Arabidopsis thaliana: one gene and its partners. The main gene of each other region encodes a partner of the protein of the gene in region 4 in a complex. Each region holds a gene or a part of one and is shown on either strand. Other genes may lie near its edges. The genes, in order: RFR1, AT1G23230, AT5G63480 and AT1G15770.

Region 1 (9,521 bases), on a different chromosome or scaffold from region 4:
AGAAATACTACACTTTGATGTAATTTTTTTTTTAATTGAATTGAGCTTTGAATACTATGGTTAATATGGATGAAAGAAAACACACGTTCCTACTAATTTCTTTTTCTAAATGATGACGTTTTCTCAAGTTACTTATCGTAGTCTAATCGGTTATTGACAAAAATGATCTAGACGTTTGAAAATCATTGGCCAACCTCTTCACTAGATAGAATTTTTATTTCTAACCATTACCTACCTGATACACACACCAAGTTCTGAATCTAGAGATGATCTTGTCTCATTTGTTTATAGACTAAAGAGTATATAAAAGCTGGATTCATGTGGGTCATCCATCATTAATCGTGTTCTTCAATTCACCAACTTCGTAGGTTCCGCATCTTTTGTACTTTCTTTCTATTTTTAATCTTGCAATATCAAAAATAAATATATACACCTTTTAAAAAAATTCTGAATATGCATATGGTAATGGTATCATCAGAAAACATTGAATATTGAATCGTCTATCTACCAATCTCTTCAAGTTGTGAATTTTATTTATCAAAAAAAAAAAAAAAATCAACTGAAACGTCAATGTTATGTTTTGCTTCAATCTAAAGAAAGTTGTACCAAAAATAAAGTACTTTTTTACCAAGAAATTTCGGATTGTAGCCAAAATATGTCTTGTTTTATTTTTTTTGTTCACCAAAAATATGTTAAACTAGTTTTTTGACTTTTTCCCCCATGCGTTGTTGTTGTTATTCGGACGACCAATATTTAATACAGTATTCAAGTGTAGCTAAGCTACTGATTCCAGATAAAGTAAAAAAATGTCTTTGATACCAACTTCACTTTGACCAATTATCGAACTCTTTAATTTCATAATATATAGCTTTGACAAATATCCCATCAGAATTCATAAATCGCCACATGAATCTTATAATTGTCAACTATGTGCAGTCCAATATTAATATCATGGAAAACTAGATTACTAGCATTTAATTTCTTAATTGTATTTAGGTTATAGACTTAACATGGTTTTTCTTCTAGAGCATTTTCACTACATTTTTTTCTTTCTATGTTATTATTTTATGTTTTACTTATTGTTACATCCATTTACAACGATGTTGGATAAAATATTTTTAACTGTTCAGTCCGTAAATGACTAGCTAAATTTTTACGGATATATTTTTACATAAAAAAAGAAATTATTTTTACGATTTACCAATTTAACTCTTCTTTCTCTCTAAGTTTTCATTTATTAAAAATGATAGTTTTTTTAAGAAAGTTATTTGTATTTATTTATTTAAAATTGGATGCAAAAAATTACAAAACTTGGAAGAAATATTGTTAACCCATCTTTATCAGTATAGAATTTCTGATTACTCCCTGCGTTGAAAATAAGAAGATCCATAGAACGTGGTAATGTTTTTTTTTTTTTTTTTCTGGCAAGAAATGGTAATGTTAATCAATTAGACTCATGACTAAAGCTGGAAAATTTGACTAAAATGGTATTATCTTGCATTATTACCTAAAAGCTCTTCTTGCATTACTCTTTCATGCAAAATTGCCTCCAAAAGTCATACTTCGAAATCATGGCTTTGTAACTCACCCTTGCCACCATCTATCTAAACTTATTATTGTTTAAAACAAAATTGATTTTCAAAGAAAAAAAAAATATAAACTCCCACCGGTCAATAACTTTTAATTTTCACTTCAATTATTCATAAAATAAATATATACACCTTGATTCTTTCTTAATAACTGGAGTTATTTTGAATTTAAATTACTTTTGAAATACAAAAGAAAGTAAGATAATTTTGCCATTTAAAATGTCTACAACAATTATGTTAACACTTAACATACATTTTTAGAACCAAATGGTAATGGTCCACTAGTTAAAAGATTTCTTATGAATGTCTTTTTATGCAGAGTTCGAATTTTCTCACAACGATTTTAACCATTTTCGTCACTCGCAAAATTTTTAGTGGATAACAAAAAAAAAAAAAAGTTGAAATTTAATGGAAATTTAGGAGATTTGTCCAATTTTTAATTTTCCCGATTAATTTAAAAAATCTACTTTACGCCTTTTATTGACAAAGATGCATATTAACTATATATATATATATATATATATATATATATATATATATATATTATAAACTAAATTTTGTAGAACCCATCAGAAGAAATTTGTACTTTTAACTTTAAAATCAATTAAAAAATTTCAATTCAAATAAAAAAAAATCCAAAATTGTTTATAAATTCAAGAAATATAACACACAAGTTGACATAAACAGTGGAGAGATTTGTGAAATGTGAACTCTTTTGACGTCTTTCTCATATTTCGTCTCGGGACAATTCACACGCACTGAATCATCTCTCTCACGAGGACTATTCAGCCATTTGCAAACGCACACACAAACGCACACGCGTTTATTTTTTTTTCGCCAAATCAAATCTGAAGAGTTCCTGTATCTTTTAACCGCTCTTCTTCTTCTTCAGAGAGCTTCGTTGATTGAACGGAAAAAATGGTGGTTCCTGGACGGAGAACCGTCTGGGATTGTGTGATTGAGCTGACAAAGATGGCTCAAGAGAACTGTGTCGATCCTCGTCTTTGGGCTTCTCAGTTATCATCGAATTTGAAATTCTTCGCCGTGGAGTTACCGTCGACGGAGCTTGCGGAGGTTATTGTTTCGTACATTTGTTGGGATAATAACGTTCCTATTGTTTGGAAGTTTCTTGAAAGAGCTATGGCTTTGAAGCTTGTTTCTCCTCTCGTTGTTCTTGCTCTTCTCGCTGACAGGTCTGGATTCATCGCTCATGGATTGTTTCCTTAGGGTTCTATGTGTTGATGATTTATTTCGTAATTTGGATTGTGAGTTGGTGAATTATAGTTTGGAAAATCTCTACGATTTTGTGATGGATCTTAGATTTGGTTTTATCTTATTGTAGTTCTATGTTTTCTGATTGTTGCAGAGTTGTTCCAACCCGGTCTACGCAACAAGCAGCTTATAGAATTTACTTGGAGCTGCTCAAGAGAAATATGTTCACCATTAAAGATCATATTAGTGGACCTCACTACCAGAAGTGAGTTTTTTTTTGTTGATACTTCTTACTTACTGTTTCATTCAAATGCTTGGCTCTGTAGGAAAAATGTTAGTAAATGTATGTTTCCATTAACATTGTACTCAGAAGTAGAATTAGAGAATACAAAATACTGTTTTGGCTTACTTGGTATTTATCTTCCTTCTTCTTTGTACAGGGTCATGATTTCAGTATCCAATATTCTTCGTCTTTCAGAGTTATTTGATCTGGACACAAGCAAACCTGGTGTGCTTTTAGTAGAGTTTGTTTTTAAGATGGTGTCACAATTGCTAGATGCAGCGTTAAGTGATGAAGGTTTGCTAGAGCTAAGCCAAGACTCGAGCTCCCAGTGGCTAGTTAAGTCTCAAGATATGGAAATTGATGCTCCTGAGAGATATAATGAAAAGACTGGATCACTAGAGAAGTTACAGAGTTTGAATACCATCATGGCTATTGAGTTGATAGCGGAATTCCTCAGAAATACAGTGATTGCGAGATTGCTATACTTGGTATCTTCCAACAGGTATGCATCATAGTTAACGAGAGTAAAGTTTTTTCAGTGGCATCATAGTTATGTTGTTCTTTGCATTGGCAGATATTTTGCTTAATCATGACCTGAATTTGACAAGTAATGTCTCTGTAGTAAAGTGTTTTTCTTTTAATCCATTTGCTATCCATTTCTTTTCAGGGCTTCGAAGTGGCATGAATTTGTCCAGAAAGTGCAGCTTCTTGGAGAAAATTCATCGGCTTTAAAACACTCAAAGGTTCTAAATTCTGGGGATCTATTACAATTGATTTCGAATAGACGATTTGGGTATTCTTATGATAGCAAAGTAACTTCAGCACGGAAATCCAATGCAATTGTGGATTTTGGATCTCTCTCTTCCTATGCTGGCTTATGCCATGGAGCAAGTCTCTCTTCACTTTGGCTTCCTCTTGATCTAGTATTTGAAGATGCAATGGATGGATATCAAGTAAACCCAACTAGTGCGATTGAAATCATTACCGGTAATTTGTAGACTCCATCTTCTTTCACTTGTGGCTTTGACCAAAGAAAAGATATCTCAAATATATAACGAAATGACTTGGGAGTATTAAATTTTCAGGTCTAGCTAAAACACTTAAAGAAATTAATGGGAGCACTTGGCATGACACTTTCTTGGGGCTTTGGATAGCAGCTCTCCGACTTGTTCAAAGGGTTAGATTACTCTCTTACTGATCTTTCTGTTTGTGATTTCACCACTACTTTGGTACCCAGAAAAGTGCAATTGCTATTGCTTGCAAGTTTTACTTACACCGTGTGCTTTTGTAATTGGTTCTGTTATTTGGTTATAATTCCCAAGACTTTTGTTACCTGCAGTTTCAGAGGACTTTCTTACACACTTTCTCTTGACTGAAGCTGTACTATTTGATTGTTACTCTGTCATCCATGATAAGTTTAGATTTTCCGTATCTAATGGCTGTTCTGATTTTCTCGTTTTTCTTTATTACTAGGAAAGGGATCCTATTGAGGGACCTATTCCTCGACTGGACACAAGGCTGTGCATGTCATTATGTATTGTGCCTCTTGTGGTCGCAAACCTTATTGAAGAGGGGAAATACGAATCTGTCATGGAAAAGCTGCGAGATGACCTTGTTACAAGTTTGCAGGTCCTCGGTGATTTCCCTGGATTGCTGGCTCCTCCCAAATGCGTTGTTTCTGCTGCCAACAAGGCTGCCACAAAGGCAATCTTGTTTTTGTCTGGTGGCAATGTTGGAAAGTCATGTTTTGATGTCATAAACATGAAGGACATGCCTGTCAACTGCTGTAAGTTTAATAAAATTTCGCTCTATTGAATTGAAGTTAAACCAATTTGTTTGTCTTCGTATTCTTCATTATTGTCGCTTGATTGTCTTCATTTGTTGATTTTATGGGCCTCTTTCGTGCCTAACATACTTTATGTACATGCCGTAGCTGGAAACATGCGCCACCTGATAGTCGAGGCTTGTATTGCAAGAAACATACTGGATATGTCGGCTTATTCGTGGCCTGGCTATGTTAATGGCCGAATCAACCAAATACCTCAGAGTCTGCCGAATGAAGTACCCTGCTGGTCATCATTTGTGAAAGGGGCTCCACTAAATGCCGCAATGGTGAATACATTAGTTTCAGTTCCTGCTTCAAGGTAGAATGAGTTATTATCTTCTTTTTGTTTCTTTTTGCTCTATTAGCTCCACACTACTTCATCCACATAGTCTTCCCTCCAAATCATACAGTCAGTGGTAATTTAAAATTACTATACAAAATTAAGCTACGGAGTTTCAAAGTCGTAACCTAAGGAAACCATTGCCACAATGAGAATAGTGGTTGCATTCTAGTTTGACTTAAGTTCTGCTTCTTCTTCAGTTATTCCTTTTTGTTTCTTAGCCAGGTAATGCTCTTTTTTTAATTTACCGAGAGTAAAGCAACTGAAATACCTCATGGATTTGATGGAAGCTTAGCAGAGCTCGAGAAACTATTTGAGGTTGCAGTCAAAGGATCGGATGACGAGAAGATATCTGCTGCTACAGTTCTTTGCGGGGCATCTCTCACACGGGGTTGGAACATACAGGTTGGCATTAAATCCACTAATCAGAATCTCCACCAGTGAGAATTTTCGGTTGAACAGACATGTTTGATTTATCTATCTTTCTTCGATGTACAGGAACACACTGTTGAATATCTTACAAGATTACTATCCCCACCCGTTCCAGCAGATTATTCCAGGGCTGAAAATCATTTGATTGGTTATGCCTGCATGTTGAATGTTGTTATTGTTGGGATAGGATCTGTTGACAGCATTCAAATTTTCTCTTTACATGGCATGGTATGTAAATTGTACTTCCAAGTTTACTAGACTTAATAGTGAATTTGCTGAAAGATGTAATGTACGATTTTGATGGCTACTTTTTAGGTTCCGCAACTTGCTTGCTCACTAATGCCAATTTGTGAAGAGTTTGGATCTTACACCCCGAGTGTATCATGGACTCTTCCTTCTGGAGAAGCAATATCAGCATATTCTGTTTTCTCAAATGCATTCACTCTTCTTTTAAAGCTATGGAGATTCAATCATCCTCCTATTGAGCATGGTGTGGGAGATGTTCCCACAGTTGGCTCCCAACTCACTCCTGAACATCTTCTTTCAGTGCGTAATTCTTATCTTGTTTCGTCGGAGATCCTTGATAGAGACCGAAACAGAAAGAGACTTTCAGAAGTTGCAAGGGCAGCATCTTGCCAGCCCGTGTTTGTGGACTCGTTCCCCAAGCTGAAAGTCTGGTATAGGCAGCACCAAAGATGCATAGCAGCCACATTATCTGGACTTACACATGGATCTCCCGTTCATCAGACAGTTGAAGCACTTCTCAACATGACGTTCGGAAAGGTCAGAGGCAGTCAGACTTTAAATCCAGTAAATTCGGGCACAAGCAGTTCATCAGGAGCTGCAAGTGAAGATAGCAATATTAGACCTGAGTTTCCTGCTTGGGATATCCTCAAAGCCGTTCCATATGTTGTCGATGCTGCTTTAACCGCTTGTACTCATGGAAGGCTTTCGCCTCGTCAGTTAGCTACAGGTTTGTTTTGTTTTGCTGGATCAGATTCCTAATTGTGTTGTCATGTGCGATAACATCCGTCTATATGACCTTTGGCAACTCTGAATGCCAATGAGAGATGTTTGACTGTGTTGATCAGTTGTTATATCAGATGCATTTCTTACAGTAAAGTGAATTTATTTACAGAATAACAAGTGTTTTTCTTTCAGGGCTGAAAGACTTAGCAGATTTTCTCCCGGCATCATTAGCAACGATAGTAAGCTATTTCTCAGCTGAGGTGAGTAGAGGTGTTTGGAAGCCAGTATTCATGAACGGCGTGGATTGGCCAAGTCCAGCTACAAATCTATCCACTGTTGAGGAATATATAACGAAAATTCTTGCAACAACAGGCGTCGATATCCCTAGCCTTGCTCCAGGTAAAACTATTCAACGTGTTTAAAATGCCAGTCTGTTTGTTTGGCTTACCATCTCTGTAGTCTGTACCATCCTCTCTTTATAATAAGCTTTTTACCTGTCCTGATTTGATGTGTTAAAGTTAAAGTTGTCTTTTGAACTTATGGTTGACTTCTTGCTGTGGTATTGCAGGAGGGAGTTCTCCGGCAACGCTTCCTTTACCTCTAGCCGCATTTGTTAGTCTAACCATTACTTACAAAATTGACAAAGCCTCAGAGCGGTTTCTCAACCTGGCTGGCCCAGCTCTGGAGTGCTTGGCTGCAGGCTGCCCTTGGCCTTGCATGCCCATTGTAGCTTCATTATGGACCCAAAAGGCGAAACGTTGGTTTGACTTCCTTGTTTTCTCTGCCTCTCGCACCGTCTTCCTTCACAACCAAGACGCTGTGATTCAGCTCCTCAGAAACTGCTTCAGTGCCACTCTGGGTTTGAATGCTGCCCCCATGTCAAATGATGGTGGCGTTGGAGCTCTTCTTGGCCATGGATTCGGCTCTCATTTCTATGGAGGGATCTCTCCTGTAGCACCAGGGATTCTTTATCTCCGTATGTATCGTGCTCTCAGAGATACTGTCTCCGTATCGGAAGAGATTCTCTCTCTGCTGATACATTCGGTGGAGGATATAGCCCAGAACAGGCTCTCAAAGGAGAAGCTGGAAAAGCTGAAGACAGTGAAGAACGGATCAAGATACGGCCAAAGTTCTCTAGCAACAGCAATGACTCAAGTGAAGCTTGCTGCTTCGCTGAGTGCCTCGTTGGTATGGCTAACCGGTGGCTTAGGTGTGGTCCACGTTCTCATCAAAGAAACGATCCCATCTTGGTTTCTATCAACTGACAAATCAGACCGAGAACAAGGACCATCGGATCTAGTTGCAGAGCTAAGAGGTCATGCCCTTGCCTACTTTGTGGTCCTATGTGGAGCACTTACTTGGGGCGTGGATTCAAGATCATCTGCATCCAAACGCCGCCGCCAAGCAATCTTGGGAAGCCACTTGGAGTTCATCGCGAGTGCCTTAGATGGGAAAATATCAGTGGGATGTGAAACAGCAACTTGGCGAACATATATTTCCGGTTTGGTGAGTCTAATGGTGAGCTGTTTGCCGCTCTGGGTGACAGAGATCGATACAGAAGTGTTAAAGAGTCTAAGCAATGGACTAAGAAAATGGGGAAAAGACGAGCTAGCGATTGTATTACTCTCCTTGGGAGGTCTCAAAACAATGGATTACGCAGCTGATTTCATCATTCATTTGCGTTCATAGCTTCTTAAAAAGTTTTGATCTTCTCCAGATTTCAGATAGTTGTTTGATAGATGTTTTTCTTCTAGTGTTTGCTTCCTTGTTGTGACTTGTGTTCTCTAGCTCCAGTGTTGTGTGATGAAATCAATCACGCATATGTATAGAGAGAAACAGAAAAAAAAAAAAAAAAAAAAAAAAAAAAAATCTTGTATAGAAAATATTAGTGTACTATTCTAGACCGTTAGATGGATTAGTGTTCTATTTGGAACCGTTAGATGACTCTCCGTTGATTAGTTGGTCACAAGTCACAACAACATGTTAAAAGAAAACGAATGATTGAGTTTGGTTTCTTTGTATCATCTCTCTGTTTTTCCGAAGAACTAACACATGTCGGGACCTCAGTGCTGTGAAAACCCGCCAACTCTTAACCCGGTTTCCGGGTCGGGTCATGTCGAGAAGCTGGGTGGGCTTGATGCCTACGTCTCCGGCTCTGCCGAGTCCAAGCTCTGCGTCCTCCTCATTTCTGATATTTTTGGTAAAATACTCTTCTTTCTTTGCTTTGATCTGTTTTGACTTTCTTTGTTTTAGTTGAAATATGATCGGAGTAATTAGGGTTTTTGTTTTTCTCTTTTTGGATCCGTTTTGTTGATTTGATCATTGCATCATTGTTGACTCTGACTTTAGGTACGTTTTTGTTCTTCAGGTTTTGAAGCTCCAAACTTAAGGTACTACTACTAATTCTTCCCTCTTCATCGATTCAACCATTAAAAATGGAATCTTTAACTTGGGTTTGTTTCTTTGAAGGAATTAGATAGTATTTAGTAGCCACATATGAGGTCTAGTTAGAATTTTCATTTGAGCCTGCAAATAGTTTTGTTGGTTTTGGATTATGTACAAGATGAAGCATACCTATCATGTGTCTTTAAGTTGACTTGTCTTTTCTGAACTCATTTGATAAGATCTAAATGTTTAATTTGAATCATTGCTTTGATTGCATTGCATTATCTCAAGTTTATCTTGTACAACTATGGAGGAATGTTTATGGAGTGTTAAGTCTTAATTTTATGTCTTAAGGGCGCTTGCGGACAAGGTTGCAGCTTCTGGATTCTATGTTGTGGTTCCTGATTACTTTGGTGGAGATCCTTATAATCCCTCTAACCAGGACAGACCCATCCCTGTCTGGATCAAAGACCATGGCTGTGTTCG
Region 2 (9,843 bases), 2.8 Mb from region 4:
ACACAAACATCTATCCACTTTATTTTGGATCAAATCTTTTGTTTATGTATAAGTCTGTATAACTAACACAACACCTAACAAAAGAAAAAAAGGTAAACAAGAAAATAATTAACGGCTTCTTCGATACTTTATTTGTTTATATAAACCCCAAAAGAATGATCCTAAAGTAATAAGAAAGCTTGTGCTAACTTCATTGTTCTGTGTTTCTCTCCATCTCTGATATCTTTCTCACGACTCATTAGCCTTACTCGGTTTCTCCTAAGTCCAAAGGTAATGTCTCATGACACGTTTTAGCATGCGCAAATGGATCAATTTATTATAAAATATGCATAAGATTTTTATATAGGTTCAAATGGTCCTTATATATTGTTTCTTTTAATTTCTTAATTTTTTTCGGAATATCAATTAATACCGGTTGATATTACGACAAAAAAAAAAAGAGATCGACAAAAAAAGTCAATAAAATTTAAAACACTAATCGAAATATACTTCATCTGAAATACCTGGTTGAATAAGCCTGTTTCATCATCTAATGATAATTTAAATTCTAAATTTCATAAATAAGAGAAACATAATGTTACCATTGACATATATACAAAACAAGTTGTAACCATGAACCCAATTTACCAGAACATGTTGTAGATGGAAGAATCTTTTGTGCTTCTATTGCTCTACGGACACACATTATCATCTGGGTGTTTATTAAGAGGTGTTAGTCTTTGCAGTATTCTGCTGATGAGCAGCTGCGTATATGGAAGAATTCGGGTTGGTTTTGAGGTGAGCGAGAAGGTGTTGTACATCTGGTCGGAGAGTCTCTGCTGCTCTTCCGATTAACGCCAAGATGTCCGGTCTCGGCTTGCTGCTAGTTTGAACAGCTCCTCCTTGTCCCTCGTAGTGAATAATATGGTGTCTGCAACAACAGTTATGTGATTGTTAATCAACAACGACAATAGTGAATCCATGTTTTGCTATGGTAATATAATAGAAGCTTACAGGAAATCAATAAGATCTGCAATCTGGGATGCTTCAACAGGGGCTGTTGTCTGTGCGGTCTTTCCAAAAACATCGACCAGTGCGCTTAAGAGAAGCATTAGCGTCTGTTGAGAAACAAAAAATGAACACCAAAGTAAAACTACAAGAAACCATTGAAGATCATTTCATTTATGTTGTGTACTCGAGAGACTAGGAATTAACATGCTAGACGATGGCAACTACATAATATTCAAATTCTATCCAGCCTTTGATATTAAATTTAACATGAGCAGAACGTCACACGGTAACTCTCACAAGCATATACTTGAAAAGACTGACCACTTCATATGGATACAAGCCATAAGAGTACCTTGTTAAAGAGAGTATGTGTACTGGCAAGCCTCGGAAGCAGTGGCCCCATGATACGGAATACAACTCTGAGCATTGCCACAGATGTCACAGGCCGGAGGTTCGTGATGATAGCATTCGTGCCATCAAGCCATTCTTGTGGGAGATTGCTGAAGAAAGCATGAAGCAAGGCGACAATATTTCCTGGAAGAAGACACATGTAAAAACAAAATCCAAACAAACATTTCACTTCTAGATCCAGAAACTATAGCGTACCTATGGCGGTCGAGGTGTTATCCTGAGCAGCCCATGTAGGATCCATCAAAGCGTATCCAACAGCTGAGTCTAGTTCACCTTGTGATCTCTTCCCGTCCTTAAGCCACCATGTTTCCCTTGTCACACGTGCTGCCTCCAAGTAAAGCTGTACGTGAAAATCTGGAGGGAGCTGAGCCAACAGAAGTCCACAAGCTTGAATCAACAGACACGACAGTTGCTGACATGTATAACCGCTTCTAGAGACAAAGCTCGCTGTGTTGATACCAGGAATCAGACAAGTGGACCGGCTAGCGCTCATGGAGTCTGTGCTCCCTCCAGAGGGAGACGTTGGCAGTACCGACCCTTGTCCCACCCCGTTGGCAGCGCCGTGGAACCCGTTTCCAGATTGAATCAGAGTCGATTGTATGTTGACAATTATCTGGACAAGCGAAGAGACAATCTGAGCAGCAGAGACAGGAAGCGAGAGGATCTCGATCACGGCTGTCTCAAGAACCAGTTGCGTGTAAGTTCCTGGGTCCTGGATCTGATAGAATGCTTTCTGGCCCTCAGAGGCGTTTGCTGGTCCAGGCTGAGATGTTCCTGGAGTTTTTCCATGAGGAGGTCTTGCTGAGCTGTTTAAGATGTCTGCCATTGAGCCAGACCTCGAGCTGCAGTTGCTGCTGCTGCTAAGTGGAGGTATAACATTGTTTACGAGATTAAGCAGAAGAGAGGCAAAGTAATCTAGAGGTGGGCATACAGGTGCACCGGTAGGGCTAATGTACTGCGGGAATGATTCAGAGAATGGAATCTGCGGAAATGTCAAAAGATTTGTTACGTTCCATTTTAATCGAATGTGGAAACGATTACGGACAAAGGTATCTAGATAAATTGGTGAGAAACAAAATCTCTAAACTAAAATCCAAAAGCGGCATCAACTTGAGGTCAATTTCAGAATCAATGTAAGATCGGGAATTGTTTTCAATTACCTTGCTGAGATCAAGTACTTTGAGCATGCGCAGAACAAGTTTCCCAGGAAGATGGCCATAGAAATAGGCTAGTATATCACGGACAAACGTGAATCTGAGAGGATGATACGCTAGAAAATGCGAGTGTGCAAGCAAAAGATTATCAGCTTGCTCCATCGCATTGTTCTCGATGAGCCTGTAAAGCACTAGAGGGATAACTGGAAGCAAACGCGCTGCAATATCATCAAAGAACGTTGGATACCTGCGTTTAACACAATAAAAAAATAGGTAAAACATTTACCCAACTTTAGCAGAATCCAACACCAAAATTAAAACAGATCAAACCAAAATTCAACTATTTCCTAGTCATACACAAGTTTTCATGGAAGGTTCCATCACACATTTATGGTTGGATGCCAACAAAACCAATCAAACAATCAAAGCCATGTACTTAAGTGAAATTGTTGTTAGAAATCAGTTACACTGATGTTGAATTGGATATATTACCTGTCCTTCCAAGAAAGATGGTTACCCAGGGCCTTCTGGAGTTCATTGCGTTTGAACACCTGTGTGACAAGCCAGTGCTCAGGAGACCCACGGTTTTGGCAGTAGTTTTTTATCCTCAGCAGAAGGTCTGGCGTTTTAAGTAGGCTCATCTGTAAATAAATTGAAAACAACACTGTAAAATTTCTATGATGTTAAGCTTCTTTTACGTAAAAGCATGAACATACTGCAATTATCAAGGCGTGAGGATCATCATCACGGTCAATGAGCGCCAAAAGAAAAATGTCGAGAGGAAGCATTTCATGTGTCCAGAAGAAAAATGCAAGATTTGCGCCTGCCTTGTCTAGAACTGCCTAAAAAATATTACGATGCAATGTAAGAAGATGGATCAAGCAACGAAAAGTGAGGTTAATCTCTTCTGGCAGACAGAAACCTCTAGAGATTGTCCTTGCTGAAGGTCTACATGAACGTGGTGAAGCAAAACATCGACCAAAGTGTATATGTTAGCAGTGACTTCTTCAGGAGAAACTTCTCTCAGAACTCGTGCCTGATAATCATTTGGAAGAGAAAATCATACCACTATCAACAAACAATCATTTCACAATTATGAATAGACTAAGCAAAGCAAACCAGATTTGTGCTGTTGATGTTTTCAGCGTGGCCTTGCATCAGCAGACAAGCACCAGCACATAGATACTGACGGTGTTGAGGAAAACTGTGACTGAGGTATGTTGAAACGTAAGCGGGTTCAGCAGATGGTGAGAGAAGTTGAGTGCACTGGTTTATCACAGTTGTTTCAGCCTGTTGCCATGCCTGAATTGATAGGCCCCTCTTGTCTACCCGTCCTTTCAAAGTTTCACGGAGAAGGGATGGGAAATGCCGCATCGTCTTCTCTGACCATGTATGCTGACTCGTCGCGAGTATTTGTTCCAACATGGTTTGCAGATAAACCATGTGATCAGGGTCTGCGATACCACGTGTTTTGATAGTGATAGCAAGAGTCATGATGGTTATGCGATTTAACGTCTCAGTGAATTCAGTTGGCCCCTAGTGATGATAACATAAGAACAATTATTTACACCTGAGATCCAGGCACAAAATAAGAAGGGGGACAGTGAGTAATTCGAAAACACCACTTACTTTTCCCTCCCGTTTCACAGAGAAAAAGTCTCTGAGTGATAAAATGAGATTCATGCATAAGTTTTCAGCTAGTCTGAATATACGGTGGTCACCACGTTTTCCTTTCAATGCAGATATTATTTTAGTAACATCATACATTAAAGTTTTACTCTTTCCTTGGTATCTGCAATAAGATCAGTAATTTTGTTTAGTCGGGTCTAACAGCCAATATGGCGAAAGCCCGAAACAATTGTCATCTAACTAAAAGAATGACCCAGTTAAAACATAAAGAAGGATCTACTCCAACTTGAGAACTTTTCGCTCGTTTTACCTGTAGAGTGGCAGCAACCGATAGTTCAGAATCTCAAGAACAAGTAACGTCACTCCAGGCTTGCTTAGCAGAGAAGCATTTCGCTGGGCCAATTGCTACAGAAAGTTAGCTAATCTTATGAATCGCTTATGATCAATAAAACATAAGATAATGAAAGTCAAAAGGTAACAGAAGGAACCAAATAGCTTACACTGAAATGTGAACGGAACATCGAATGAGGGGAAATCAGAAGCAATCTTGTGTATGTCTCAACCATTGCAATGCTAGGAACAACCTGCACTCAGATGTTTTACTACGACACTAAATTCATTTTTCTCAGGTTTTTTAAAATCTACTATTAACATTTTTAAACAAGTAAAACGCTAAAGTTGTTTTACTAAACCGTGGAGAAAATAGGTCACTAAGTAAAAATGACCAAAGAAGATGTTCTTCATAGATCAGTGTATCAATTAACATATATAATATCTTTGTGAGACAAAGGAAACAAACCTGGCTAACAAACAAAGCTTCTTCCATCTGAAGGGCCAATTTCAAGCACAAATTCATTGAAAAGCCAGATAGCAATGACATAGGTAACGGGGTAACTTCCTGCGTCATCATTACTCGGTCGTTTGGCTGTAATCCCGGTAACTCAGCCATGCCAGCTGAAGATAGCCAATTTATAACTGTTTCACATGCTGGTTGTGCCATGGTGTAGGAAACAACCCAAAACATGCCAATCGACCTATCATCCATATTCATATAATCCATCATCCGCTCTCCTGACAACCCCAAACAAGAAACAGAATGAGAGGATGCTTTTTATAATCGGGATTCTCTGCTTCCTAGTCTAAGCCCTGCCATTGAAACCTTATGTACCTTTGCTTCTCCACCACTCATCGATCTGTTTTCCCTTCAACAGCTGTTCATTGTTTAGGTATGCCCTAGTTGTTGTGCTTAGTGACCAAATCCGTAGATTCTGACAACTGCTTACGAAGTCAAGCAACACACTCTGAGGATTGTTGGGATCAGAATTTCTGTCTTCCCTGTGAAATGATAAGATCTTCCTAGTAGTCTCCACCTGAGAGAAAACCCAAATAGAGCACAAATTGGGATGTTAAATTCGCCGAAAAAGAAGTACAAGTAATTGCATTGCAGCTGCAAACATATCATTGTAATTGAGTAACGACCTTTTTAGCATCTGAGTTCAAAGCAGTCATCACAAGCTCCACGCGTATTATTTGTGCAAGCAGCCAAGTCACATGATTCGTCCGAAGAATATGGTTATCAACACCGTTAAGGCGTAAAACCAACTTGTCAATGAAATCAACAAAATCAGTACACCCACTTTTGATTAGAAAGAAGAATATATCCGAGAAAACCAGCCACTCTTGCCAGCAATTTGCATCTGCATAGAGAGGGGGAAAAGTAACAGATACCAAATCAATACCAAAGCAATCCTAGTATAATGGTATCTCAACTCTTACTTTTATCTTTTCTATCTAAGCCTAACGAATCAACGATTATAGAACTAGAATAAAACGTAAAGGATGTAGGTTCTTTACAGATTGTGACGACTAGCAAAACCACTTGCTATTTCAAAATAATTTCCACAGATTTAAATGGAAGTGACAGATCAAAGACATGAGAAATAGGGAAAGACAAACATTGCCTGAGTTGGTCAGCTTAAGAAGCTCAACAATTCTGTCAATGATTGCCTCACAAATCATGTCAGAAGTGAATACAGCACCAGGGATAGGCCCTGCTTGTGTAGATGGTCTATAACAAGGGGCCACAACAAGAACACGCTTCCACCAGTCCGGTGACGGTGTAGTGCGAATAGCATGTCTAATGCAACGCACTGCTCTCTCCCAATCCAGGCTTCCTTTTGGAATAGACATCGCCAGATCCTGCCGGTGTCGAAAAAGAAGAAGAGAGGATTGAAATTCACAAATTGTCTGCCTAATGAAAAGCGTATACATTACACAATATCAACAAGAGCCAACTAAGCTATGAAACCAATCTCCACAATTTCATAGGAATCACCTCTCCATATAAAGGTTCCCCAAGCACACTTGGATATGTAATTGGTGAATGTCGTAAGTGTGGCACAGCTTCGGGTGGAACATTGGCAGTTATTTGGGAGACTATACGATGGGTACCAAATGATGGACAGTGAAGATGTTGGTCCAACATGAGCATATGCATGGCCATCGCATCTCGCCTCCGGTGTATCTCCATGATAAGAGTGAACAAGGCTTCATCATCAGGTATGTTCTCTATAAACTGTAGACCACTGCGCAATAACTCATAAAACGGAATTCGAGATTCACCCTCTTCTACCAACAGCCAGATCACATCCAAACAACTCCGCAACCATTCAGCTAAAGTCTTCTCAGATCTCCACGACTTTCCTACAGAGTCCTCAGTTCCCAGATCTCTCCTGTCCCAGTTAACAAGCCAATTCATCATGTACTGGAAAATCTCGGCATGAGTAACGGGTTTGAGACTAGATTCAACGCCAATCAAGATAATCTTGCAACTGAGCTGACGCAGACTGTTTACAGCAGCAGCTCTAATCCGTTGACTATTTCTCATAGCATTCTCTCTTACAATCTGGCCAGCTCTTGCAATCTGCTGCCCATTCTCCACAGATTTCACCTCTGAAGCTGATGGAGAACCAATACCATGAGCTGAAGGCAGCAATGACGTTGGATTCACAGACACAGGAACTACAGACTGCGAAGAAGTAGCAGAAGAACCAGCCGTTGCCGCTGCTGCTTGAACACCTTGGCTTAACGACGCCTCAGCAGCGGAAACGGAAGAGAGAAGGGATGGTAAAAAAGTATCCCAATTGATATAACTAATCCTACACAATGTACGCAAAGCAAAGAGTAGAAACTCAGCACGAGGCGCATGATTGCTACATTGCACCACCAGAGATATCAAAACTGACTCAGTAATCGTCCTCAATTGCTCTGGATCCTAACAAAGAGTTGGAAAAAAAAAAAAAACTTTATCTTACGAAATCACAAAGAGAAAGATAAAGATAGTTAAAAAACGAGACTTTACATTGAATTGGCTCTGAAGCAGCTCAAAATCCAAAAGGAATTGCTCGTTTCTTGGTGGTAAGTCTCTATTAGGAGCATGAACACGCTTCTGTGATTTGTTCCTGATCAAAACAATCAACATGGATAAAATCAAACACAGAAGGAAGAGAAAACAAGAGTTGATTCAGAATCAATAGAAACAACATACGGGGGATCTCGGAGGGACTCATCAGGCTTTTGACGGCTTCCTCTCTGTGATAGAGAAAGCAAAATCAGCAGAGAAACAAAATTCGATGAAAAAAATTGGGAGATTGGAGAAGAGATTAACCAACCCCTAAGTAGAGATTGAAAAGATCGATAATTGCAGCACGAGCTGGGTGGAATTGGTACGATCGAGAAGACGATGGCGTTGCAGCGACTGTTCGCTGCGATTGATCCATTTTTTTTTCTTCTTCACTGATTCTTTTTTTCTTTGATGCTTATAAAACGGAGGAGCAAAATTGGTATTAGAGGTTTTGGGTTTAAAGCTCTTTTGAAGAGAAGAAAATGTCAACAACAACAACAACACAACAACGAAAAAAACAAAATTAGAATTTGAGAAAGAGAAGAACAATATTTTGCATTGTGAAGTTGAAACGATTCACAGTAGAGAAGATGACTTCTAATTACACAATAGGAGCCACAAAGATTTTGTCTTAGGCAGAATTACATTGTGGGATACAAGACAGAGAATTCTAAAAGAAAAGGATTAAATTGAAGATGCTCTGATCATCAACGTTTTATCTCATTTTTGATCTAACGGCTCCACGGCAGTCTTGAAGAGAAGAACGTAAACTTTGTCGATCTGAAAATATAGGAATCCTCCTGTGGAATGAGTCACGTATGAACCAAAGCTTGTTCCAACAATGCAGTGCCATGCCGGGCCGTAGGCTGAATCGAAGTCCTGAAATGGAAGACAGATGGAAAACTGTTTCGTGAATATATAGTTTTAAATCAGCTGCAACATGTCATTAGACAGATGGGAGTCTAAGATTCACTTCAGTGGATAACATAGAAGCTGGATTTAGGAGAAAACATAGAGACAAGAAACATATGAAGATCTATTTCGAGATAAGAGATCTATATTACCAGAACAAGAAGATAAAACAAGACAACAGCAGAAATTGACTCGTATGTCAATCCTAAAAGCCAAAGGGAGGTAGCCATTATTAAGAGATTGATGAACACTGAGACAAACAAGTAAGCTGCACACAGATAAGTGAACACTAAATTGTTTTACTCAACCACTTCATAAAATCAATGTATGGATCAATCAATGCCTCTACCTAGTCGCATAAATTGAGGGAACTGCTCCATTTCGCTCCATAAGTTAAAATCAAAAGCTAATTATCAAAGCCGCTTTAAGAAGGAACAATATCCTCACGAGAAACAACTGCATAAATGGACAACTCTATATATGGGGTGTCGAACCAAGTCCTTTGTAAAAGGTTGTATTCAGGCAAGGCTCACTTCCTAAAGCAAGCATGCTTCAGAGTTATCATTAGGTAGCAACTAATTTCTAACAGCAAAGATACAGAAGCTTAGCAGATGGTGCATGCTATGCCTCATTAGTTATGGCCTAAGACAGCTCCAAAATCATCTCAATAAACAACAAGAACATCCAGTTTCAAGACATTTCACAACGAGACTCCTACTACAGTTATCCTCGCAATACAAAAACAACCTAGTCAAGTAGACTAACCGAAGCTACAAATAGAAAAGACAACAACAATGGAACAAAGTCAAATGCAACCTAACAAATATGGGACCATCCATGAAGTTCAACAATATGCAAGTACACAAACGAAAATCCAAATTCAAGATTCATCACATCTTCAAACCAATCAAGAAAGAGAAGACCATAACCACATTCTACAAAAAGCATGCGACTTTGAGACGTAGCCCTAGAACCCAAAAGCAGCTCAATACTTTTAGATTCTGTGTCAAAATTCAAAACTCAATCCAAGTACTAGACTTCAATGACTCCAATTCAACCCAAATACAGAAAAATCATGAGAGAGATACAAAAGATCTAACCTTTTTTAGGGCATGAGCGAGTCTTTTGTTATCAGCCTTCCCTGGAGTAGCATTCAAAATCTCACGCGACAAACTAAAGGCTCTGTTCTGTTGAGGCAAAGGCATATCTGAAGCCCTAACACGAACATTGAACTCATCTTTCTGATCTTGCTGTTCTTTAGCCTTCTTCTTCTGTATCAAACTGTTCAAGAACTTGCTTCTTCTTTCTAATTCTAGCTCAACTCCTTCCATCTCTATCACATCA
Region 3 (5,809 bases), on a different chromosome or scaffold from region 4:
AGTGGAAACGGTAAGATTAAAAGATTAGTCTCCAGGGTCTTGTATTATTCAACCATCTTAGACTCTTATTTCCAGCTTAGTGATAGTTGCTCCTTTTTCCTGAATTTAACCATTTGTTCGTATTCATTAATGCATAGGTTATGACTCAGAATCCAGAATCTACGATAGTTGACACACCAATTGTTGAAGCTCTACACATCATGCACGAGGGAAAATTCTTACACCTTCCCGTTACTGACAAAGGTGAGAATTCTGAAACCTTTTCAATTGTAAAGTCTTACAAAAACTAAAAAGGCAAACGCATGTAAACCATAAATGGGTTTCTGATTGCAGAAGGAGATGTAGTTGCTGTTGTCGATGTAATCCATGTCACTCACGCTGCTGTTGCCACAGTAACTCCCATCTCTTGAACCGTCTGTAAATTTTTTCGTTTAGAACATCCACTGTTCTCTTTTTTCTAGATACATGTTTCAATCTTGTAGTTATTTTGATGTGTTCAGGCTGGAACTACTGCGGGAATAGGTAATGAGGCGACAAACACAATGATGCAAAAGTTTTGGGATTCAGCTATGGCATTGTCTCCTAATGAGGACGATGAGGACTCGAGAAGGTTATTAGCTAGTCTTACTTGTTCCACTATTTATCGAGTTTCTTTTCAAAGAAAGCTTTGGTTTTGCTGACTTTGTTGACAACATGGGGAACAATTTGTTTCAGTGAGAGCTCCATGAAGGTTGCTTCCGAAGCTGAGACAGGAAAATCTTTCCCTTTTGCAAATACATTTTCTTTCAAAATTGAAGACAAAAAGCACAGGAAACACAGATTCATAAGCGGTAAAAATAATTTTGATTTTTATTCATCAAGTAAATAGTTGTAGTCTTGCTTTTACTTAACTGAATTGGTTCTTTTTGCAGACACTCGGAGTTTGACAGAGGTGATAACCGCGATCATTCAGAGGGTAGGGGATGATATCGATCCAGATAACTTCCCCCAAATTTTGGTAAATATTTTCTTTTACATAAAGACTATGATGCAATCATTATCTAATTCTTCTCTTGTCACCCCCTGAATTGTTAAAATGATGGTTATAATGTGCAGTATGAAGATGAAGACCACGATAAAGTGTTGTTGGCTTCAGATAGTGACCTTCAAGCAGCCATAGAGCATGCAAAATCAATTGGCTGGAAGGTAAAAAGAACGATTTCCTCCTGCTTTAAACTTTTGGTTGATAAGCAACAAGAACCAAAGTCGAAGATGAAACCTTCATGAGATTGCCCATAAACCCCTTTTGCTTTCTGAATTGATTTGATCATTATAAATTGCAGAGTCTGAGATTACATTTGGATGATTCAAGAGAAGGCAAAGGAAGAAGAAGGAGAAGAGCATCAGGATCAGCAGAATCAATGGAGTATGTAGAGACAGACGCTTGGGCTGCTGCTTATAGTGGAGTTGCGGCTGGTGCAGCATTAGTAGCTGGTCTTGGTTTTATGGCTTTTCTCAGAAAATTCGGTCATTGATTCCTCAGAAACACTACAAGAAGTGTTTCTTTAACAGATCAATACAAACAAAAAAGAAAAACAGACACAGGGTTTGAAGGTTTTGTCTGAAATATTTTTATATACAAAAGTCATTTTTGATTATTTTTTTGGCTTCATGATATCAAAATAACAAATATCTAAAACTAATACATGGAGTAATTCAAGAACAAGGCTTAGAATCTTTGTCTAAACTGATCTCACTATTGTCAAAAAAATAAAACTCAAACAGAACAAGGGCTTTGCCATGTAGAGATATCTGCTATAAGTTCCCGAAGTTTATCTATAAGTTCTTTAACATGAACATTCTTCTTTGCAATCTCCTGCATGAACAAAAGCTTCCGTTTATTAATGCCAACAGAGAAGAACAATATAATCACTTCCCATAAGGTTATTAACATAGAAATCAAAATGACCAGATGGCTGAAATGTATTCAAAAAATTATCAACATTTCCATGGTTCTAGAACCGCTTAAGCTATAATGATACAAACACTTACACTAGACAGTGGGAAAGAACACTTTATACAAGAAAATATGAATCAAATTCAATGCTATGTGAGTTGAAATGTACAGAGAATTCGAGACTGAATAGTGTATCAATGTAGTAACATCAGATTGAAAACAAAGAGATGTAGAAATTGCAGAAAGCTTTACCATTCTGAGACTTAAGGCTTGCTCCTCCAATTTTTCGATCTCGTCTTCACTTTCAGGAGATCCTAAACCATTTTGCATTTCAGATGCTTTTGCCTGTAATAGATGAACAAATTCAAATTTATGAAACCTCAAAAAAGCTCTCATTTAAAATTAAGCAAGTTCACTACAAGTGAAGAACAAGACACTCAACAAGCATTAGATCCTTCATCTAAACTCTCTATCGATTCGAAGATTTCCTAATCTAAGATCTCAAAACACCCTAGGAATTCAAAATTTCCTCAGTCCAGAAACAACTCAGAACAAAACACTTCTCGAAATAGTTAGTAACATCACATTATGTTCAATACCTTCTGCGAATTTGGAATCGCAGCAAGAACAGCACGAAGCGAAGTCACTGAGTTCTTATACCGAAGACTCGCCTCATCCAAAACACTATTTCCACTTCCTCCGCCCCCGCCACCACCAGCAGATTCCGAATGATGCGATGTTCCATCAATCGCAGCCGCATCGGCGGAAACGAGAGCCGAACCATTAGAACCCGTCGTCGTCGCGGCGGAACTCGGGGTAGCTGAAGTAGACCACAAAGACGGATTACAAAGCTCATCATTCATGGCTGAAATTATCTGAAACGCCGCTTCAATAGTTTCTTCCAATTGCTTCTCTCCTTCCATCGCTAGCTCCTGTGTCGTCATCGTCGTCGTCGTCGAGACCTGTTTCTGCAGCATCACCGTGAACACACTTTATCACGGCGTCGGTTGACTAAACTATTAATACGATGTCGTTTTAATCAAACTATATAATATATATATCAATAATATAGTTTTTATAGATAAATAAAAATAGAAAGAAATCAGCTACATCGCTGTCTACCTTATCCACTATTACTCCAATCCATATGACAAAAACTATCTAAAACGTTAGTTTGATCTTTTGATCCAATCACAAGGCAAAGATCCAATGGACAATAACAACAACAACAACAACCAGCAACCACCACCAACCTCCGTCTATCCACCTGGCTCCGCCGTCACAACCGTAATCCCTCCTCCACCATCTGGATCTGCATCAATAGTCACCGGAGGAGGAGCGACATACCACCACCTCCTCCAGCAACAACAGCAACAGCTTCAAATGTTCTGGACATACCAGAGACAAGAGATCGAACAGGTAAACGATTTCAAAAACCATCAGCTCCCTCTAGCTCGTATCAAAAAAATCATGAAAGCTGATGAAGATGTGCGTATGATCTCCGCCGAAGCACCGATTCTCTTCGCGAAAGCTTGTGAGCTTTTCATTCTCGAACTTACGATTAGATCTTGGCTTCACGCTGAAGAGAACAAACGTCGTACGCTTCAGAAAAACGATATCGCTGCTGCGATTACTAGAACCGATATCTTCGATTTCCTTGTTGATATTGTTCCTAGGGAAGAGATCAAGGAAGAGGAAGATGCAGCATCGGCTCTTGGTGGAGGAGGTATGGTTGCTCCCGCCGCGAGCGGTGTTCCTTATTATTATCCACCGATGGGACAACCGGCGGTTCCTGGAGGGATGATGATTGGAAGACCGGCGATGGATCCTAGCGGTGTTTATGCTCAGCCTCCTTCTCAGGCATGGCAAAGCGTTTGGCAGAATTCAGCTGGTGGTGGTGATGATGTGTCTTATGGAAGTGGAGGAAGTAGCGGCCATGGTAATCTCGATAGCCAAGGGTAAGTGAATTCTAGTAATATTCAGCAATGTAGCTTGTTGCAATTGATTATCTATGGTTATTGAGATTCTTCATGAGCTTGCTTTGATTAGTCTTAGAGGAATTTGCTGCTCTGTGTCATCTTCATTGATTCTCATCAAATAAGCTAAAAATTGATAATATCAAAGAAGCTCAATTTACAGTATCATCTGGCTCATTTCTTTAGATTCATAAACAAAACTTTGTAAAATACACAATTTTGATATCCATTATTTGATTTGACTCACACCTTTGATTATTTGTACAATGTTGTGCAGTTGAGCTATGGAACCAGAAGCTTAGAGATTTAATCATCATTTCGACCCTGCAAGTGTCTGATTCTTATATGTCTATGATTCGAATGACTTACTCGAGAGAGAGAGAGAGATCAAACAAAACAAAACAAAAAAGCTCTTTTTCATTTTTCCTGTTAACTTATAAGTTATTGCAGCAAAACTGCAGACTTGCTTAACTATATATTAATCTAAATGTGCAGATTCTAATCTATGCTTTGTATTTTTGTTGATTCTTGCTCCTAATCTAGTAATGATCAGAGCTTATGTATGGCATATTGAGTTTGTATTTCATGGCTTGTAGTAGCTTTGAGTTCTCTGTCTCTTATAATAACTTCTTACTTAATCATCTTAAGGCCTGATAAGGCCTATATATTAGCTTTGAATAGACCACGTTTTAACATGTATATATAAATTATATTAAGGCCCATATATTAACTTCTTACTTAATCATCTTAAGGCCTAATAAGGCCCATATCTTTCTCCAATAGACGCAATCGGACGGTGACCATCTCTGTGCCGCTTTGTTCCTAAACGATTTTCTGTCTGTTCTCTCTTTGCTCTCTCGCCCTCTCTTGCTCTTCTGGGTTCGTCTTCCTCGGCTAGGGTTTATCAGTGGTTTGTCAATGGAGGCTTCATCATCTCAACCATCCGATTCTTCTGATCAAACTGCTTCCAAGTTCCTTTCTGACCTCCCGTCTCGAGGTTTCTTGTCTTCTACCGTCGTCTCTTCCAATCCGGTAACTTTTCTAACCCATTCCCGCCTTTTTTGTTTTCTAAGGTCTATTATGGATTCCGAATTTTGAAATTTTGGGTTTTTCAAAGTGATTAGCTTTTTGTATGCGTCTTCAATTCTTCAAAGTGATCTTGATTGTAGTTCCAGATCGTTGAAATTTGGGTAGAATTAAATCAGAGAAAATCTTGTCTGAATTGTAATTTTGATTTTAGGTTTAGGTTCCACACTTTGTGCCTATAGGCTCAAAGTTTCTGCTTTTTACTTTGAATTTTACCATTTACTATAAATGCTTGAAGCTTTGAGATTTGTGATCAAATTGTGTAATGATAATTACAAGAGTTCACTTATAATATACTGCTTCAGTTCATGACAATTGATCTTGTTAATTACTTTAGTAACGTTGGCAAGCGACTGCTTTGAATCCATGTGTTGCTGTCAAAAGCTGGATTTAGTAATGCGTAGCTCTTATTTCCAATCATATTGGAGTTTTATTACAATTTATTTTCTTATAAGATCATTCAGTTCTAGTTTTCCTGTGAATGTGGCAGACTGGCAGGATCTCAGAGTGTTTCTTTCCTTTTGAAGTTGTTTCATCTATCTGTGTAGTAATAGCTTCTTTGTTAAAGCTTAATCATACATTTTAGTAACTTTCTTTTGTGTAAGATTTCAGGGAAGCTTGCGGGTCTACATTTGTGAGCATGACACATCTCCCCCAGGTAATTCTTTTCTTTTTTCGTTTTGTTCCACGAGTTGTTTTCTTAGAGACAGTTTCTTGTAGCAATCTCATAAAACAATTCCTTTTCATTTTCTCTCTGGGTGAGAATTGGCTACACTGGAAAAGTAATTGGGAGTCTCAGGATTATCAGTTT
Region 4 (6,055 bases):
TCCTTTCCCACACACCGTGATTGATGGTCACTCTCCATTCTCCACACTCTCACACAATTTCTCGATATTCTCTACATATTACATACCCACCACTCCACTCCCATCTTTTCTTTTATTACTCACACAAGCATGGGTTTACTTTATCTGTAATATTACACAAATGTAATCCCCATTTCCTCGAATAAAATTTGAAAAAATGAATAACCCACTGATATTAAATCAATATTTTGTTCTGTGTGTTTTTCACTTTTGACCCTCTTATATTTTCACTTTAATCAGATATAGTCCCTCTTTACGTCTCAACTACCTTAACGACGAAGCCCGCTACTTGCACAAAAGTCAAAAAAGCCCCCCACTCACTTTTCCTCTATATATACATCATCTCCCACACAAACACAAACAAACATAAACCTTCTTCAATGGAAGATTGGTGGTTTTCATGGCTCTCTAGAACAAACCTTGAACCTTCTCTCATCCACGAATACGGCCTCTCCTTCTCTCAGAACGAGCTCGAACACGAAGACATTTCTTACTTCGACCACGAATTTCTCCAGAGCATGGGAATCTCTATCGCCAAACACCGTCTCGAGATTCTCAAACTCGCTCGTCGAGATCGCAAGAACTCTCCTCCTCTCACCTCTCGTTCCATCTCCAGAGTCGTGACTGCGATTAAGAAAACCAGGAAATGTTTATCCGATCACGTACGCGCCTGGATCCGCCGTGAAGAAGAGTCGGCGTCGTCTCGAGCTCTGGTGTTGGTGCCGAAGAAGACTAGCAACGGGATTGGGAAGTGGAGAGGTGGATTCCTGAAGAGGAACAAGAGATCTGTGATGCCGAGCAATGGAAATGGTGGATTGGAGAAGCAAGAGAGGTTGTTGTTGACCAATGGGACTCCTTGTAGAATCGATAGCTTCTCAAGTCCCATGGTTTTCGATTACAGTTTCAAGGATGAGAAACTTTACGCTCAAGATACTTATTTTGAAGATATCAAATGGGATTCAATGTTTCAGAATCTCAAACCTACTTAGAAAAATCTCTAAGTTCTGTTTTATGTTTTCTCTTTCAGCTTCTTCTTCGTTCTTTATATCAGAATTGATGGTGAGAGATGAGGTTTTAGGGTTCTTCCACCATGTTTTCTTGATTTTGTCTTTGTATGTGATTAGGCTAGTTAATTTTTGTTAGTTAACAATTGGAAAATAGAGTTGAGTGGTGGTGTCAGGTGTGTATGTGAGTGTGTGGGGTCATTGTAATGAGTCTGTCTCTCCAGTCTTTGCTTTTGGCCTAAGTCTCTGTTCCAGTCAAAACTTCTTTACAGCTTTTATCACTTTTTACTCTTTTCTCAAAAAATGCTCTGTTTACACACATAACCATGACGCTAAGCCTGCCGGAGTGATCTTACTCTTGAGGTAATCGGAAAGATCTTGAGCTCAGGACACTACACAGTCTACACTAGAGCACACAAAACATTGTGCTTCCAAATTTTATCTGTTGTGTGTGTGTCAATTTTCAGATATACCTAAGGGAAGTGTAACTGAAAACCATACCTCAGTTCTTGGCTTCTTGCCACCACAAGTCACAGTAGATTCCATATCTGATGTTACCAAACCAGCAAAATGCTTGTAGCTATTACCAACGCTTTCCTCCCAATGAAGCAACACTTGATGGCATTGGGGTTGTCTGACGCTTCCTTTTCATGGTCGCCATCTTGCGTCATGAAGTTTCTTTCTTGGAGATGGCACTTAGTCATTGCAACCAAGTCCACACCAAATGAAGCTCTTGAACCTTTGCCTGGTACTGAACCAGCAATCCTATCAACCATGCTTACAACAGATCTAATATCACATACTGCAGACGAAAGCGCTTGTGGTGAGATGGATTTCATCTGAAAACAACAGAAAGCAAACATCAAGATCAGAACAATGTTTCCACGGCAAATGAGGGATGGCAGCAATGACACTGCCCTGTTGCAATATACCCTTCAAAATTAGTAACGTTACTTACGGCTCTAATAAGGCGTTCAATAGGCAGCTCAGTAGCACTCGATTTTCCACAAGTACTTGTCAAAGGATTTATAATATTTCCATCAGGACTGGTAAGCTCCGGAAGGAGAGGAGAGGCAGAGATCCCTGGAGTGCCAATTTCAAGGGATTGAAGTACACCTTGCCTGATCTGTTGTACCCTTGACCCAGCACCCTGCATGCTCATTGATTGCATCTGCAGAGTTGTTTGGTCATCATGAGACTGATCTTGAACTGTCTGAGATAGTGGTTGCTGCATAGGCTGAATCTCAGATTTCGTAAGCTGCAGTTTCTGTACTGTCTTCCTCAGACTCTGCATATTTAAGAAATTCATAATGTTGTTCTTGCGATAATCCATACTATCCTTCAAGTCAGGTTTGATATTGCTCTTTGAAAGAGATAGGAAACGTAGCATTCCCTCCAACACTGTCTTGCCTCGTTTCAATTTCTCAAACTGATCTGATCTTTGTTTCTGATGCGAAAGAGAATCCTCCTAGAGAGAAAACGGAACGTATTCAGTAGAAAAGAAACAAACATATAGATGAACGTTAAAAGTTTACAACCTCTGTAGGTTTGGGAAGGAATATATCTGTCAGAAGGTTAACTTCTAGTGAACTATCTGTAAGTATAAGAGTCTGACGAACCTTTTACTTTGTTAAATGGGTAACAAGAATCCTAAGTTGTAGGACTTTCATTTGTAACAATGAACTGATCTTGCATTGAATTTGTAAAACTCTTCATAAAGTACTTAGTACTGTTCCAGAGGACGTACACGTGCAAACTAACTTCCTAGGAAGAATGAAAACTGTAACTTACTTGCTGCAACTTGGCTGCTACTCTCTGGTAGATTTCATTGAGGTCTCTTTGATGGATTTGATCTACAAAGAAAAGCAATATAATCATACATACGATTACTCATCATGGTGATATCATCTAGTAACAGAGAGATGATCCTGCTAGTAACAAAGGAATAATCTGGTTGTCGTAGTAATCTTTCAAGTAAGGCATGACATTGCTTCTTTGAAACAGATAGGAATTGTATCATTCTTCGCTCCAACATTGCCTTCAATCTCTCAAATTGCTTTAATCTCTGTTGATGGGTAAAAGAATTCTGCATGAATTCAATAAGAAACCAAACCCTACCCTACTAGTTGACGGAACACTAAAGCACCCACCAAAAACACACCTAATCTCCGAGAAATTAACATTTACAAAAAAAAAAAGGGTCTTTATTCATTTTTCGATCATAACTTGATAGGAGGAGCCTGGTAGAAACAGAGCACCGGAGTCAACAACATTGAGGATGAGAGTTCAAAACACATCAGAAGAGAGAAGACCAACATAAAAAGAGAGAGAGACAAAATATCTACAATGCATTTCCTTGATTATTATGAGACTGATCTTGAAGCTGCCTTTGCTGTACTGTCTTCCCAGCCGGTTCTTAGCGTAATTAAGAAATATATAATCCGTTTCTCATAATAGTCCCATCTACAATCCTTTAATATCGGCATGATATTTCTCTTTCGAAGAGATAGGACTTGGATCAATTGCTCTATGTTTGTCTTCATGCTTTGGAACTTGTCAAAGTGCTTTGATCTTTGTTGCTGCGGAAGCGATTCCTCCTGAAAAAAACAAACAAACTAGTATTACTACATCTATACAACTTAAGGCAGAGAGTTAATAGTTGACAGTAACTACATCTTACATGGTTCAACTTGTCTGCAAGTCTCTGGTAAACATCAGTCACATGTGGTAGATAACGCTCTCTCATGGATCTAAGCTGTATAAACAATTACACACCACAATGAATGATCCCGATGATGATTTAAGAAAGGAGTTTTATTATTATGATGATTATGACTTATGAGTTACCTTTTGGAAAACCTCCTCCCGCCAATCATCTCCATTTTCATTTTCCATTGTATCTACTATCTAGTGTTGCTAGCCAAGAAAAATAATTAAAAAGCGAGATTCATTCATCATCAGAAACTGTGTAAAAAAAAATACAAAAACCTAAAATTAGAGGTACACAAGTATCATCAATCCATAAAACTAGTTTCTTATGCAAAAGGTTTTGCTATCGACGAATCCATGGGTTTACTATGACACGTAATGAGATAGGTGACTCAAAATAAGGACCTTTTGGCGATGAATCTCCGAGACTTAGAACGGTCCGTTTGGATTTGGTTTTTCTCCAAACGTTCTTACGTTTCAATCTTTCTTTTAATAAGTGAAACGTAGCAATTAGGGTTAAGGAGAAGAATTAGAGATGATTGTTTTTGTTTTAATCATCTTTTGATTTTATAGAGAAACAAACAAGAGAGAGCTAAATACAAGGATTAAAAGGCTTCAACAACATTACAATATCAGGTTATTAAGCGAGGCCCAATGACCCAATAATAAGTACTTATCAGGCCCAAGTCTCTTCTGCAAATAATAAGTTTTTTGGAGTTTTTTTAAGTTTTCTATTTCACACAGTAAAGGCTAAAAATCGAGTAAAGAGACTTGTAGAAAAACCAGTGAAATCTCCGGCTATTTGTGTGACCAAAATGTTAATTATAGTCATTAACTAAATAAATCTCGTTCATGTACTAATTTGTATAGACAATTACACACCACACTGATCACTCCTTGTATCTTCTAACTTGATGACTTTATGATGATAAATCATCAATAATTACAATAAAAAAGTTAGCCATTTGGTATATACAAAAAAAAAAAAATGTTTCAAACAGCCATTTTATTGTGACAACTGAACAGAGTAAAGAAGTTGAAACTCTTCTGAACGATCTCAAAATGCGTATTACAACAAATCTCAAAATACAACATTCAGCAAGACCCCAAAAAAGGGGTAATTGCACTTCAGAATTAGAAGAAAATGACGAATATACTAACAAGATTCACAAAATACATACAATAAAGTTAAAATAATATTATTTAAATATATTCAATAATATAGCATAAGCTTTTGCAAACAGATAACAAAAAATCCCAATCACGTGTGTGGGAAAACAACTTATACTATACAACAAAAAGTGAGGAAAAAACTTTTTGGCTTTTTTTCTTTAGTTTTGACATGAACCTGCAAGTGAATCACAGAGCTGCTATTGAAGACGAGAGAGATCCGTCAGATTCAGGAAGCTGCTACATATTTCTCCCAAGTGCCGTATTTTGAGCTGAAAGTTCCACCGCCAAATTGCTGTGCGTACTCACAGATCACTGCCCGAGCACAGGCGTCCCATGTCTTGGCTATGTCTTTGAGCGACATCGGCTGTGACAAACTTCTTAGCAATATGTTGAACCTTGCCATAGCTTTGGACGACAGGTCCTCGTTTTCTTTGCTGTTCAAGAAACCAGACCGTGTTACGGTAAGAAGATAACGCAGTTTCTAATAAAGGGTTTCTAGTAGATGATTCTTGTGAAGATTTTAACTGTATCGTAGAAGTTTGCTCGACTCGGTACGGAAAATCTATGGTTCTATTTACTTGAGACTGAAGGATTTGCTTGTACCTGGTTTCGACCGGGAGTTTATCTAGAAGAGATGGAGAGCCATTGGGGTAGCTACAAGGAACCAGCAGACGCAATGGTTGAATAGGAGACTGTAATAGAAGCACAAAGCATATATTATAAAAAAGGATAAATGAAATATTTTGTTTCACAAAACGTTAATGTTAACGAGATGACCATGTTTACCATTTGTGTTGATGAGAGATGAGCCTTCAAGGCTGGGCTGAGAGAAACAGCTATAAACGAGAATCTAACTGTTGTTCCTTCACACCCTATGCTTGATATTGCAACCTCACTAGGATCAGCAGCATCTTCATCATCACTTATCTCAACAACTGTATCTATCAGCCGCTGGTTTATTTCCTTTATTTCCTCCAAAAGGGCATGCTCGGTCTGCAGTTCAAGATTGAGTCTTCAAAAAAAAAAGAATATCGAAACCTTGTGCTTCCAAATTTTCTTTGTTACGTGTGTGTGTGTGTGTGTGAGTGTGTGTCAATATTCAAATATAGCTAGGGGAAGTCTAACTGAGT

The links.
Region 1: AT1G15770 (region 4) and RFR1 share a complex: the UniProt entries of both Arabidopsis thaliana proteins name them as parts of the mediator complex.
Region 2: AT1G15770 (region 4) and AT1G23230 share a complex: the UniProt entries of both Arabidopsis thaliana proteins name them as parts of the mediator complex.
Region 3: AT1G15770 (region 4) and AT5G63480 share a complex: the UniProt entries of both Arabidopsis thaliana proteins name them as parts of the mediator complex.

What each region holds. Positions count from the first base shown.
Region 1 is NC_003074.8:8,465,131-8,474,651, forward strand, and holds RFR1 (REF4-related 1), read left to right. Parts: upstream 1-2,267; 5' UTR 2,268-2,507; coding exon 2,508-2,782; intron 2,783-2,955; coding exon 2,956-3,066; intron 3,067-3,241; coding exon 3,242-3,586; intron 3,587-3,751; coding exon 3,752-4,071; intron 4,072-4,169; coding exon 4,170-4,261; intron 4,262-4,557; coding exon 4,558-4,870; intron 4,871-5,017; coding exon 5,018-5,228; intron 5,229-5,539; coding exon 5,540-5,654; intron 5,655-5,747; coding exon 5,748-5,909; intron 5,910-5,996; coding exon 5,997-6,654; intron 6,655-6,842; coding exon 6,843-7,049; intron 7,050-7,218; coding exon 7,219-8,339; 3' UTR 8,340-8,497; downstream 8,498-9,521. Other genes in the region: AT3G23600 (alpha/beta-Hydrolases superfamily protein), read left to right, coding at 8,703-8,850, 9,019-9,040, 9,390-9,516. UniProt on the Arabidopsis thaliana protein: Component of the Mediator complex, a coactivator involved in the regulated transcription of nearly all RNA polymerase II-dependent genes.
Region 2 is NC_003070.9:8,242,601-8,252,443, reverse strand, and holds AT1G23230 (mediator of RNA polymerase II transcription subunit), read right to left. Parts: upstream 8,005-9,843; 5' UTR 7,964-8,004; coding exon 7,856-7,963; intron 7,776-7,855; coding exon 7,732-7,775; intron 7,646-7,731; coding exon 7,546-7,645; intron 7,459-7,545; coding exon 6,520-7,458; intron 6,384-6,519; coding exon 6,141-6,383; intron 5,934-6,140; coding exon 5,664-5,933; intron 5,555-5,663; coding exon 5,353-5,554; intron 5,256-5,352; coding exon 4,984-5,255; intron 4,769-4,983; coding exon 4,685-4,768; intron 4,590-4,684; coding exon 4,495-4,589; intron 4,348-4,494; coding exon 4,185-4,347; intron 4,092-4,184; coding exon 3,675-4,091; intron 3,592-3,674; coding exon 3,478-3,591; intron 3,398-3,477; coding exon 3,272-3,397; intron 3,197-3,271; coding exon 3,048-3,196; intron 2,803-3,047; coding exon 2,562-2,802; intron 2,384-2,561; coding exon 1,597-2,383; intron 1,525-1,596; coding exon 1,343-1,524; intron 1,098-1,342; coding exon 994-1,097; intron 911-993; and 2 more. Other genes in the region: AT1G23220 (Dynein light chain type 1 family protein), read right to left, coding at 8,308-8,466, 9,600-9,830. UniProt on the Arabidopsis thaliana protein: Component of the Mediator complex, a coactivator involved in the regulated transcription of nearly all RNA polymerase II-dependent genes.
Region 3 is NC_003076.8:25,414,421-25,420,229, reverse strand, and holds AT5G63480 (mediator of RNA polymerase II transcription subunit), read right to left. Parts: upstream 2,982-5,809; 5' UTR 2,914-2,981; coding exon 2,536-2,913; intron 2,282-2,535; coding exon 2,189-2,281; intron 1,856-2,188; coding exon 1,757-1,855; 3' UTR 1,595-1,756; downstream 1-1,594. Other genes in the region: AT5G63490 (CBS / octicosapeptide/Phox/Bemp1 (PB1) domains-containing protein), read left to right, coding at 1-10, 138-243, 334-392, 501-610, 715-830, 912-997, 1,096-1,185, 1,323-1,514; NF-YC4 (nuclear factor Y, subunit C4), read left to right, coding at 3,146-3,898; AT5G63460 (SAP domain-containing protein), read left to right, coding at 4,831-4,944, 5,611-5,656, 5,782-5,809. UniProt on the Arabidopsis thaliana protein: Component of the Mediator complex, a coactivator involved in the regulated transcription of nearly all RNA polymerase II-dependent genes.
Region 4 is NC_003070.9:5,425,295-5,431,349, forward strand, and holds AT1G15770 (mediator of RNA polymerase II transcription subunit), read right to left. Parts: upstream 2,987-6,055; 5' UTR 2,922-2,986; coding exon 2,835-2,921; intron 2,512-2,834; coding exon 2,002-2,511; intron 1,883-2,001; coding exon 1,598-1,882; 3' UTR 1,414-1,597; downstream 1-1,413. Other genes in the region: AT1G15760 (Sterile alpha motif (SAM) domain-containing protein), read left to right, coding at 420-1,028; AT1G15772 (mediator of RNA polymerase II transcription subunit), read right to left, coding at 3,407-3,640, 3,724-3,798, 3,891-3,938; NRB4 (mediator of RNA polymerase II transcription subunit 15a-like protein), read right to left, coding at 5,228-5,617, 5,712-5,918. UniProt on the Arabidopsis thaliana protein: Component of the Mediator complex, a coactivator involved in the regulated transcription of nearly all RNA polymerase II-dependent genes.